Macaca fascicularis: one gene and its partners. The protein of the gene in region 2 purifies or fractionates together with the protein of the main gene of each other region. This does not show direct contact. Links are inferred from orthologs where the notes say so. Each region holds a gene or a part of one and is shown on either strand. Other genes may lie near its edges. The genes, in order: ACOT9, KCMF1 and ABHD10.

What was found.
Region 1: the proteins of KCMF1 (region 2) and ACOT9 purify together in Homo sapiens (affinity purification with mass spectrometry; 3 studies listed by BioGRID and IntAct, with this or other methods). This does not show direct contact. The link is inferred for Macaca fascicularis from reciprocal best matches to the Homo sapiens genes KCMF1 and ACOT9.
Region 3: the proteins of KCMF1 (region 2) and ABHD10 purify together in Homo sapiens (affinity purification with mass spectrometry; 3 studies listed by BioGRID and IntAct, counting the BioPlex papers as one, with this or other methods). This does not show direct contact. The link is inferred for Macaca fascicularis from reciprocal best matches to the Homo sapiens genes KCMF1 and ABHD10.

The regions. Positions count from the first base shown.
Region 1 is NC_088395.1:23,661,442-23,665,099, forward strand, and holds part of ACOT9 (acyl-coenzyme A thioesterase 9, mitochondrial), read right to left. Parts: intron 2,892-3,658; coding exon 2,794-2,891; intron 907-2,793; coding exon 880-906; intron 1-879. UniProt on the Homo sapiens protein: Mitochondrial acyl-CoA thioesterase. Catalyzes the hydrolysis of acyl-CoAs into free fatty acids and coenzyme A (CoA), regulating their respective intracellular levels. Regulates both mitochondrial lipid and amino acid metabolism.
Region 2 is NC_088387.1:36,552,643-36,556,300, forward strand, and holds part of KCMF1 (E3 ubiquitin-protein ligase KCMF1), read right to left. Parts: intron 2,709-3,658; coding exon 2,534-2,708; intron 1-2,533. UniProt on the Homo sapiens protein: E3 ubiquitin-protein ligase which accepts ubiquitin from an E2 ubiquitin-conjugating enzyme and then transfers it to targeted substrates, promoting their degradation by the proteasome.
Region 3 is NC_088376.1:171,098,098-171,101,124, reverse strand, and holds the end of ABHD10 (palmitoyl-protein thioesterase ABHD10, mitochondrial), read left to right. Parts: intron 1-432; coding exon 433-777; 3' UTR 778-2,417; downstream 2,418-3,027. UniProt on the Homo sapiens protein: Acts as an acyl-protein thioesterase that hydrolyzes fatty acids from acylated residues in proteins.

The DNA of each region.
Region 1 (3,658 bases), on a different chromosome or scaffold from region 2:
ACAAACAGAAAAGGATAACTTCAACTATTCATTTAATGGGGCTGTATCAGTGTTAGCCAATAAGAACCATTATGATGGAGATATGAACAGGATTCCCACCTATCTTCTTTTTTGGTTTTTTTTGTTTTTTTTTTTGAGACAGAGTCTCGCTCTGTCACTCAGGCTGGAGTTCAGTGGCACAATCTCGGCTCACTGCAACCTCCACCTCCCGGGTTCAGGCGATTCTCCTGCCTCAGTCACCCCAGTAGCTGGGATTACAGGTGCTGTGCCACCACACCCGGCTAATTTTTGTAGTTTTGTTTTGTTTGAGACGGAGTTTCACTCTTGTTGCCCAGCCTGGAGTGCAATAGCATGATCTCAGCTCACTGCAACCTCTGCCTCGTGGGTTCAAGTGATTCTCCTGCCTCAGCCTCCCAATTAGCTGGGATTATAGGCAGACACCACCATGCCCAGCTAATTTTGTATTTTTAGTAGAGACGGCGTTTCACTATGTTGGTCAGGCTGGTCTTGAACTCCTGACTTCAGGTGATCCACCTGCCTTGGCCTCCCAAAGTGCTGGGATTACAGGTGTGAGCCACCGTGCCTGGCCCCCATCTATCTTCTTATACGCAGTATTAGATCAAATTACTTAGTTCAGAGACTAATGTACTAATGTACTAATATCCAAATCTGAGTCTCATTATAATTAATTTCTCATATATTTATAGTCTGCTAGTTGTTAGAAAAGTTTAAGCCAGAAAAATGAAGCAAAGACTTACATCAAGCTAAGGCAAAGAATGCAATTTTAGTTAATGCCACTGCCCAAAAGTGCAAGCGTATATTAGTGCTTACAAAATTTAAGCTCTTAAAAGAAAAGCTGATACTAATTACCACACACACCATGATTCACATGTATAGGTGAACATGCTATATGAATAAAGGGAAAATCAATTAGAGAACCAGCAATAACTGGAAACTAAAAGATAAATCTATAGTATTTCAAATACTGTGTTGAGTTCATGTGTTTTTCCTAGCACTTCAAAATACATATTCCAGTTATAGGAAATTAACTATAGCAATCCTCAGTCCTTCAATAACTAAGTGATCAAAACCAAATATGATTAATATTAACATGCGGGCCGGGCGCAGTGGCTCACGCCTGTAATCCCAGCACTTTGGGAGGCCGAGGCGGGCGGATCACAAGGTCAGGAGATCGAGACCACAGTGAAACCTCGTCTCTACTAAAAATACAAAAAATTAGCCGGGCGCGGTTGTGGGCGCCTGTAGTCCCAGCTACTCGGGAGGCTGAGGCAGGAGAATGGCGTGAACCCGGGAGGCGGAGCTTGCAGTGAGCCGAGATCTCGCCACTGCACTCCAGCCTGGGCGACAGAGCGAGACTCCGTCTCAAAAAAAAAAAAAAAAAAAAAAAAAAAATATTAACATGCATTTTAACTTTCATGAAAAAATGGTTTTCTATCAAACAATTATGGATACACCATAAGTTTGGTGTATAATTACAATTAAATGTTACAGAACTGCAAACAACAACCATTAGTAATTTAGTCTTATTTCTGATTTTTTCCTCCTAAGTGCCTTGAATAAAAGAATGGACAGGGCCGAAGCGTGTGAATCATGAGGTCAGGAGTTCAAGACCAGCCTGGCCAAGATGGTGAAACCCCGACTCTACTAAAAATACAAAAATTAGCCTGGCGTGGTGGGCACCTGTAATCCCACCTACTCGGGAGGCTAAGGCAGAGAACTGCTTGAACCTGGGAGGCGGAGGCTGCAGTGAGCCAAGATCACGCCACTGCACTCCAGCCTGGGCGACAGAGTAAGACTTCATCTCAAAAAAAAAAAAAAAAAAAAAAGAACAGGCCAGGCACGGTGGCTCACATCTGATATCCCAGCACTTTGGGAGGCCAAGACAGGCGGATCACTTGAGGCCAGGAGTTTGAGACCAGCCTGGCCAACATGGCGAAACTCCGTCTCTCCTAAAAAATACAAAAATTAGTTGGGCGTGGTGTAGCATGCCTGTAATCCCAGCTACTCGGGAGGCTGAGGCAAGAGAATCGCTTGAATCTGGGTGACAGAGGTTGCAGTGAGCCGAGATCCTGCCACTGCACTGCAGCCTGGGTGACAGAGCAAGACTCCATCTCAAAAAAAAAAAAAAAGAATGGATAGAAAGTACCTCAAACAGGATATGGACTACTGATGCTCACTGACATAAAATAATTACTGCTAGCTTAGTCAGTGTAAGAAGAGAGGCAAGTACTGAGGGCCAAGAAGGAAAAAATTTAAAATTTTATTTACATATATATTTATATACACACATAATATAATTTGGACCCTTTAAAGAAGCCAAAATTTTAATTATAGTGAATACTCCTAGTTTAATAAAGACAATCCACAGTTTGCATATCATATTGGTAATTGAAATTAACTTTAATTACGCATGGACTAACAGGATCCCTCGAACATAACTATGGACTAGGAGTGTTTACTCGGTACAACTAATGGGCCCATCTCTTTTTTCCCATGCCTTCAGAACCTACACACAGGAAGTGGAAATCGCTTAACTAAAAGAGCTCAGTCCTCAAGGCTCCCAGGAACAATAGTTCAAAATCTGAATGTGACTTCTACCTGAAGCTATTAATATTATGCAGCTATCCTGGTCATTTCGTCAATGAAATGTTTATGAAAGATCTACCTTTAATATGCCTCATTTGCTCTAAACTACATTTCTATATACCTTTCAAATAAAAGTAAAACAAGGTTTTTCACCACATAGACATAAAACATAGACACCATGCTTGCCTTCATGAATGTGGAAGATTCCCTGTTTCTTGGGGTTCTGGGGTCCTTGAGTCAGTCCTCTTCCAGGAGTAAGCTGCCCCTTGCCCAAGGCACAAAGCCTATAAAAACAAGATAAAACACAGAGTAGGTTCCACGGCTTTTTCCCTGGCAATCTCAAAGACCTACCCTCCTCCCAGAGTATCTGGCCATACCACCCTTAGTATATATTGTCTTGCAGGAGTCTGTAGTTGTTTCACAAGTGTATGTATGTTTTCATGAGGCTATTCCATAAATCATTTCTCCCACTAAACATTTCTTGAGAGCAGAGACCAATTAGGTAATTATCTACAAAATAAATAAAAGATGGCAACTAGGTTTAATGGATTTATTATTGGTCTATTTTATTAGTTTCAGAAGTCCATAATCGATTTGGTAAACAACTGAGCAAACTCATTATGAACAATTTATTCTGTTCTTTATTATCGCACCATATCTCCTCAATAAATAAGATAAACCCAATTATAAAGCAAACTTTGAACACTGAATTAGCCCTTTCCAGATGCAAAGAAAGTGTTTATTTAACTTATGCAGAAATTTTCTAGAGTCCCAACACAATAAAATAAAAGCTATCTACTGGCCACGGTGGCACAGGCCTGTAATCCCAGCACTTTGGGAGGCTGAGGCAGGTAGACAGGTTGAGCCCAGGAGTTCAAGACCAGCCTCGGCAACATGGCAAAACCCCATCTCTACAAAAAATACAAAAATTAGCCAGGTGTGGTGGCATGCACCTGTGGTCCCAGCTACTCAAGAGGCTCAGGTGGGAGGATCACTTGAACCCAGGAGGTCGAGGCTGCAGTGAGCCAAGATTGCACCACTGCACTCCAGC
Region 2 (3,658 bases):
AACACTCGCCTCTGCCTTCTCCCTCTAGTACCTTTTGGTACTGCTGTTTCAGAGTACCACTGCAGTAGGTACCACTAGCAGTGCTCAGCAAGGCTCCTGAGAACCTGTTGCATCTGACTGTACAGCGTACTTAGTGGCCTGTTATGATCCAGACTGTCTTGTGTCCATAAGGCTGTACTCATTAAGAGAGGTGTAAACCTTTGTCCCTGCACCCTCATCTACGTAAGGTGCAGTGAAATGCCTTCTTCCAAGTGGAGGGTCTACCTCGCTTATAGGGAACCGATGATTGCCTTGCATACACTCTTAGGCCAGCAAAAACTCTTTATCATTAAAACTCATTAACAGTTTGTTTTCTTGTTCAGTTGCTTTATCCCAGGCTTTTGATAGCACTCTTACACCACTCTTTCATGGAATATACAGTCTATCACTAAAATAAACTAATTTTCACTGACAGAAAAAAAACAAGTGAAAATTTCTCAAATTTGAATTCTGCTCTCAGAAACTACTTTAATTTTTAGTGTCTGCCACCAAAATAGCAGGTAAATATTCCCTTTGGATGAAGAAATATTTTTTAAATCCCCCAAACTCAGTTTGTTAGGCTTGTTTTTGTTGTTGCACACCCAAATGTTCAAAGCACATTTGGAATTAAAATTTTATATGGTATATCTAACTTTTTAATAACATGATAGGTGTAAAATTATTCTTAGGTTTTTTTTTTCTTTTTTAAATTTTTATTTTAGATTTGGAGGTACATGTGAAGGTCTGTTACACAGTTAAACACATCACGGGGGTTTGTCGTATATATTATTACATCACGCAGTACCCAATTAAGTCCAGTACCTAACAGTTATCTTTCTGCTCCTCTCTCTCTTCCCACCCTTCCCCAGTGTCTGCTGTCTCCTCCTTTGTGTTCCTAAGTTGTCATTTAGCTCTGATGTTCTCAGTTTCTATTACAGATTTACACTTACCAGTGTTTCAGGTGTTCTGCAGGGCACCTCATGGCTTCCAGGTAGGTGCACACTTCACCACATGGACACATTTCAGAATTGTTGCTTTAAATGTGTGCACACGTCCCACAGTCTTACCACTTGTCTGCTTGGTGTGTCTTGCAGATTGTCAGGCTACAGTGATTTCTTATATTTTATTCTGACCCTGTGTTCTGCTACCAACTTCCCAGGTTTGTCATGTACTAGACCCAGTGACATGGCCAGGTTCAAAAACTGTGTATTTTTGTTTTTGTTTTTTTTTTAAGATTTTCCCCAAGCTATTAAACATGTACCTTTCAGTATGTTCTACAACAATATAGTTCTCAAATCAAGATCAGGACATTAAGTCTTACGTTCCTTTCTTCCATGAGAAGAGCTTAATTTTTTAGTCTTGTCAATTAGCTATAGATAACAGTTCTGAAATGTGTCCATGTGGTGGAATGTATGTGTACCTGGAAGCCATGAGGCGCCCTGCACAACACCTGAGATAGGCATAAATCTGTGATAGAATTTTACAGATAACATGTTCTTAAAAATGTTAGCTATGTCTTATAAAACCTTAATTTCAAATGTGCTTTGGACATTTGTTATGTGTACTTATGGAGGTTTAACCATGAAATTTTGGAGGTATTCAAACTGAAATCTTTTATGATTTCCTTGGGCTTCAATAGAGGCCACAAATACAACATAAAACCATTTTTTATCATCTTATGTCTCTAGAACAGGAGTCTCCCACTCCCTTTACCTGCAGGAGACATGTTCCAAGACCCCCAGTGAATGGCTGAAATGGGCATCTGGATAACACAGAACCCTATATGTTTTTTCCTATATATACTTATCTGTTGTGCTCAAGTTTAATTTATAAATTAGGCATAGTACAAGATTCACAACAAAATAGAGTAAATCTAAAAATATACCATGAAAGTTATGTGATGTGGTCTCTCTCCCTCTCAAAGTATCTTACTGTCCTGTACTCACCTATTTTTTGACTGTAGTTGGTTATGGGTAACTGAAACCCAGGAAAGCAAAACCACATATGAGAGGGGGACTACTGGACTTAAGTGATACCAGAAGAGTATGAATTACTTTATGTTAAGTATCTGCTTTGAACACATTCTACACTTTTAAAGTATTTGGCAATTTTGTGAAGGAACATGGCTTATGATCAGAGAGGTGAGGCTACAAAAATCTCACAATTTTTTTTTTTTTTTGAGACAGGGTCTCACTCCATCACCTAGGCTAGAGTGCAGTGGTGCGAGCTCGGCTCCCTGGAACCTCCACCTCCCAGGCTTGAGTGATTCTCATGCCTCAGCCTCCTGAGTAGCTGTGATTACCGGCGCCCACCACCACATCTGGCTGATTTTTGTATTTTTAGTAGAGATGGAGTTTGGCCATGTTGGCCAGGTTGGTCTTGAATTCCTGGCCTCAAGTGATCCACCCGCTCCAGCCTCCCAGAGTGTGAGCCACCGCACCTGGCATCACAAAAAGTTTTAAAAGGAGCTCCTCCTTCCCCTGCCATTTCCCTTATTAATGTGAAACTAACTTACCAGCTATAGGATCCATGGCTTCCCTATTGCTTGGAGAATATGAACTTTGAGAAGAAGAAAGTCCACCAGTAGAACTGCTAGTAAAGTGCATGTTTGATCTACGAGCACGAGGACCTCCTAATCCCCGGCCAGGGTGAAACATTCTACGTACATGTCGAACACCACTCGATTCATCATAACCCAAAAGTTAAGAAAAAAATGAAAATATTTCACAGAAAGAAAAAAAAAATCACTTGAGCCCTTGCTAAAGAGATATAAAGACTTCCTGAATTGTAAGCATTTAAAAACAGCACATTTAACTTAAAAGTGCAAATGTCCCAACTCTATCTATGAGGGAGGGCTATTAACCCTAAAAAAACACTCAAATATAAGGCAACATGTGAGTGTGTGTGTGTGTATTGGCTGTGTGAGGTAAGAAAGCTTCTCTATATAGCTCATGAAATCTCAAATACCACCTATAATGAAAAAGGAACAATATTGAATTTATATTCAGCAGATCAAAGATTCCTTTTGGATTATCAGTTTTAATCTGTCTTCAAGCTTTTTTCCAATGCTGCTGCTAAGCAGAAAACAGATTTGCATTTCTTGTGTAAGACACACAGACAGATTAACATTACATTTATCACGAAGTCAAATTCCCAGCAGCCTCAACCATCTTACATAGCTGAGTTTGAGTCAAACTGAAAAAGGTCCTGAGTCGCAAATAGCTGTCAAAACTCATGAAGACAACCCTACGTTTCCACAAAGGCAAATAAGAGGTGGGGGAGGCCAGATCATATAGAAGAGATTTTTCCTTTAAAGCACCAAACAGACCAGCTTTATAATGCAGATTCATTTTTTTGCTGGCTTCTCAGTTTTTCAGCTGATGGTTCTGGAGTTATTTAACTACCAGATGGGCAGCTCCAGGAGGCCTTCAGGTGTCACTGTACATGCAGTGTTCCATCATATTAATAAGGATGGTTTGGGTTTTAGAGAAAGTGATACGATCATATTTATATATTTGATAATTTATATATTATGATTTTATATATATATGTATTTTGAGACAGGGTCTCACTTTGTTGCCAGGCTGAAGTGCAGTGGTACAACCATAGCTTACTGCAGCCTTGAGCTCATGGGCTCAAG
Region 3 (3,027 bases), on a different chromosome or scaffold from region 2:
CTGGACCGATTCCAAGAAATTGTAGTGCCTTTCTCACCCTTCATTTTTCTTTTCAGTTGGGGTAAAGCAACATCTGATTTAAGATAGTGTATGATAAAGTTAGATAAATTTAAATTTAAGTTTGAGTCTTAGCCATAGTTAGTAGCCTAGCCCTGAACTGTTGGGCACAATATTTCATTTATCTAAACCATATTACCCTCTTTTGTAAAAATAGAATAATAACAGAATTATTATCAGAATCTTATGGAATAATATGTATAAAATACCCATCACAGTACCTGGCGTATAGTAATTATTGATAATATTGTTATGCTTTTGTTACCTCTATCCTCTTATTCAAGAACTGCTTTCTTTAGATTACTTGAAACTATTGCATATGTTAATGTTACTTAAAATCACAAATACTTTTGTTTTTCTTTCTGTTTCCAATAGCTAAAAAAGGAAGTAGAGATGAAAGGTGTGTGGAGCATGCCATCAAAATACTCTGAAGAAGGAGTTTATAATGTTCAGTACAGTTTCATTAAAGAAGCTGAACATCACTGCTTGTTACATAGCCCAATTCCTGTGAACTGCCCTATAAGATTGCTCCATGGCATGAAGGATGACATTGTACCTTGGCATACATCAATGCAGGTTGCTGATCGAGTACTCAGCACAGATGTGGATGTCATCCTCCGAAAACATAGTGATCACCAAATGAAGGAAAAAGCAGACATTCAACTTCTTGTTTACACTATTGATGACTTAATTGATAAGCTCTCAACTATAGTTAACTAGTATCACGTGTTTAGTTGGTATGTAAACTAATGTATCCAGAAGATTGGAAGAGGATAAGAAATGAAAGATCCTGATACTTTAGGTTTTTCTTTTACCTCTATTTTGTAAATATCAGATGAGTATTATTTAATGATGTATTTGCACAAGTAATGCATATTGTGAAGAAGGACCAGCTGCTGTTTAGAAAATTTTCTCGTTCCTTCTGTCCTTGATTTTTTTTCATTAAAGTATTTCCTTTTTTTAATTCAAGAAAAGTTTACCTTTCTTATGCTTATGTTAGCTATTCCAGCTCTTAATTGCATCCTTTTCTAAATAGGATTATTAATAAAGCGTAAATATTTTGTTTATTATAGACAGAAATTTGTAACATTACTTCTGCTTTGAAAATGCAATTCACAAAATACAGGGAAATTTTTATTGAAGTAAATTTGAAATGATGGAGAAATTTCAGAAGCATAATAAAGTTCACAATAAGGATAATACTTTATATAATGTATAAAGTATAATTATATATTATATATGTTACATAAACTGCACATTATATTCAAACTTAAAATTAAGCTTTTACTTTTTTTAAAGGCCCAAAATTGTACAGTGATACGAGGAGCTGTTTCTAAATTTTGGCTTATGTGTAATATATTTAAATGGGGAATTTCATCTAAAACAATGATGTAGCATTTTAATATTCTGATTGGTAAAATTAAAGAGGAAGTTGATCTTTATATGTTATTACTTATAGAAACATTCATTATTTTATTAATATTGCCCTAAGTACAACTAGGCACGTGGTTGCCACCTAAATCAGAAGACTTTCTGAAGTCACTAAGAAAGTGTGAAATGCTAGTGTAAAGGTTGCTTTTTTTTTCTTTCCTAAGTAACTAAAGTGAGATGGAGATTAAGCCTTGATATTATTGAGTTAATGTTTTTTATTTATTAATTTTGACTGGATTTTATTTAGCTTGATTAGGTTATTATCTGTCAAACCTTTTAAGTTGACAACATGACTCATATATATACATGTATATAAAATGAGCATGTGTCGAAGACTTACTCAACTCATTAATGAGGAAACCAGCAGATAGTAAAGCTGGTTCAAAGTGCAGTTCAAGAAACTAAGGGCATTGAAGAAAAAATGTTGAGAGAAAATTGCTGAGCAGAAAAAAGTGTTAATGAAGCTGACCTGACTACTTATGCTTAAGACCTGCTTTACAAGGTTGGCCCTTGATTGGCATCTGGGAACTTGGAGTTCAGGGGGCTTCCACCATTCCCACAACTGATCAAAGTAGCTTACTATATCTAAACTGTAAAACAATATAGTTTCTCCTGAAAACAATATAGCTTTCCTTCTGGGAGTCTGGAATTTTGGTATGTGCCAGGCAGAGACTACCCTTTGTGACCAGCTCCCATTAAAAACCGCAGGCACTCAGTCTCTAACAAGCTTTTCTGGTTGACGGTGTTGCACAAGTGCTGTTACAACTGGTTGCTGGGAGAATTAAGCTCATCTGTGATTCCACTGGCAGAGGATTCTTGGAAGCTTGCACTTAGTTTCCCCTGACTTCACCCCATGTGTCTTTTTTCCTTTGCTGATTTTGCTTTGTATCCTTTAACTGTAATAAATCATGGCCGTGAGCAGAACTGTATGTGGAGTCTTATGAGTCTTCCTAGCAAATCTTCACATTTGGGGATGAGTTGAGGGCCTCTCCACAGATGCAAAACTGGTTTATGTCCTATGGGGCAATTAAACTACAATCCATGGGTTATCTTTTATACTGGACAAAAATTACAAACCACAAAGAAATCATACATGAGCGCAACTGTCTCTGGTGTTGGAGTGGGTTGATAGAAGATGGCACTGGCTATTCAAGGACTTACTTTGCCTAGACGTTGCTAGGTGTGAGGCTTGTTAGGAACACAAAGGCAAGGGCCCTTGCCAATGATGGTTTTCTGTACAAAATAATATGATTAGAGATTCATAATACATATGTAGAGACAGTATAGCATAATGGTTAAGGGCAGAGACGAACTTGGTTTTTAATTCTGGCTCACCATTTACTAGCTCTGTGACTGAGCAATTAACTTCACTGAGTCTCAATCTCATCTACCTCTGTTGAGATTAGAGGCATTTCCAGATACAAATCTAAACAGTACACCATTCTCCAAACAGCCACTATAGAGGCGTCTCTGGAGGAGGAGAAGAAAAAAGCTCTGGGCAACACTGAGTTTATTATAAAGTATGGAGATAGAAAGCTG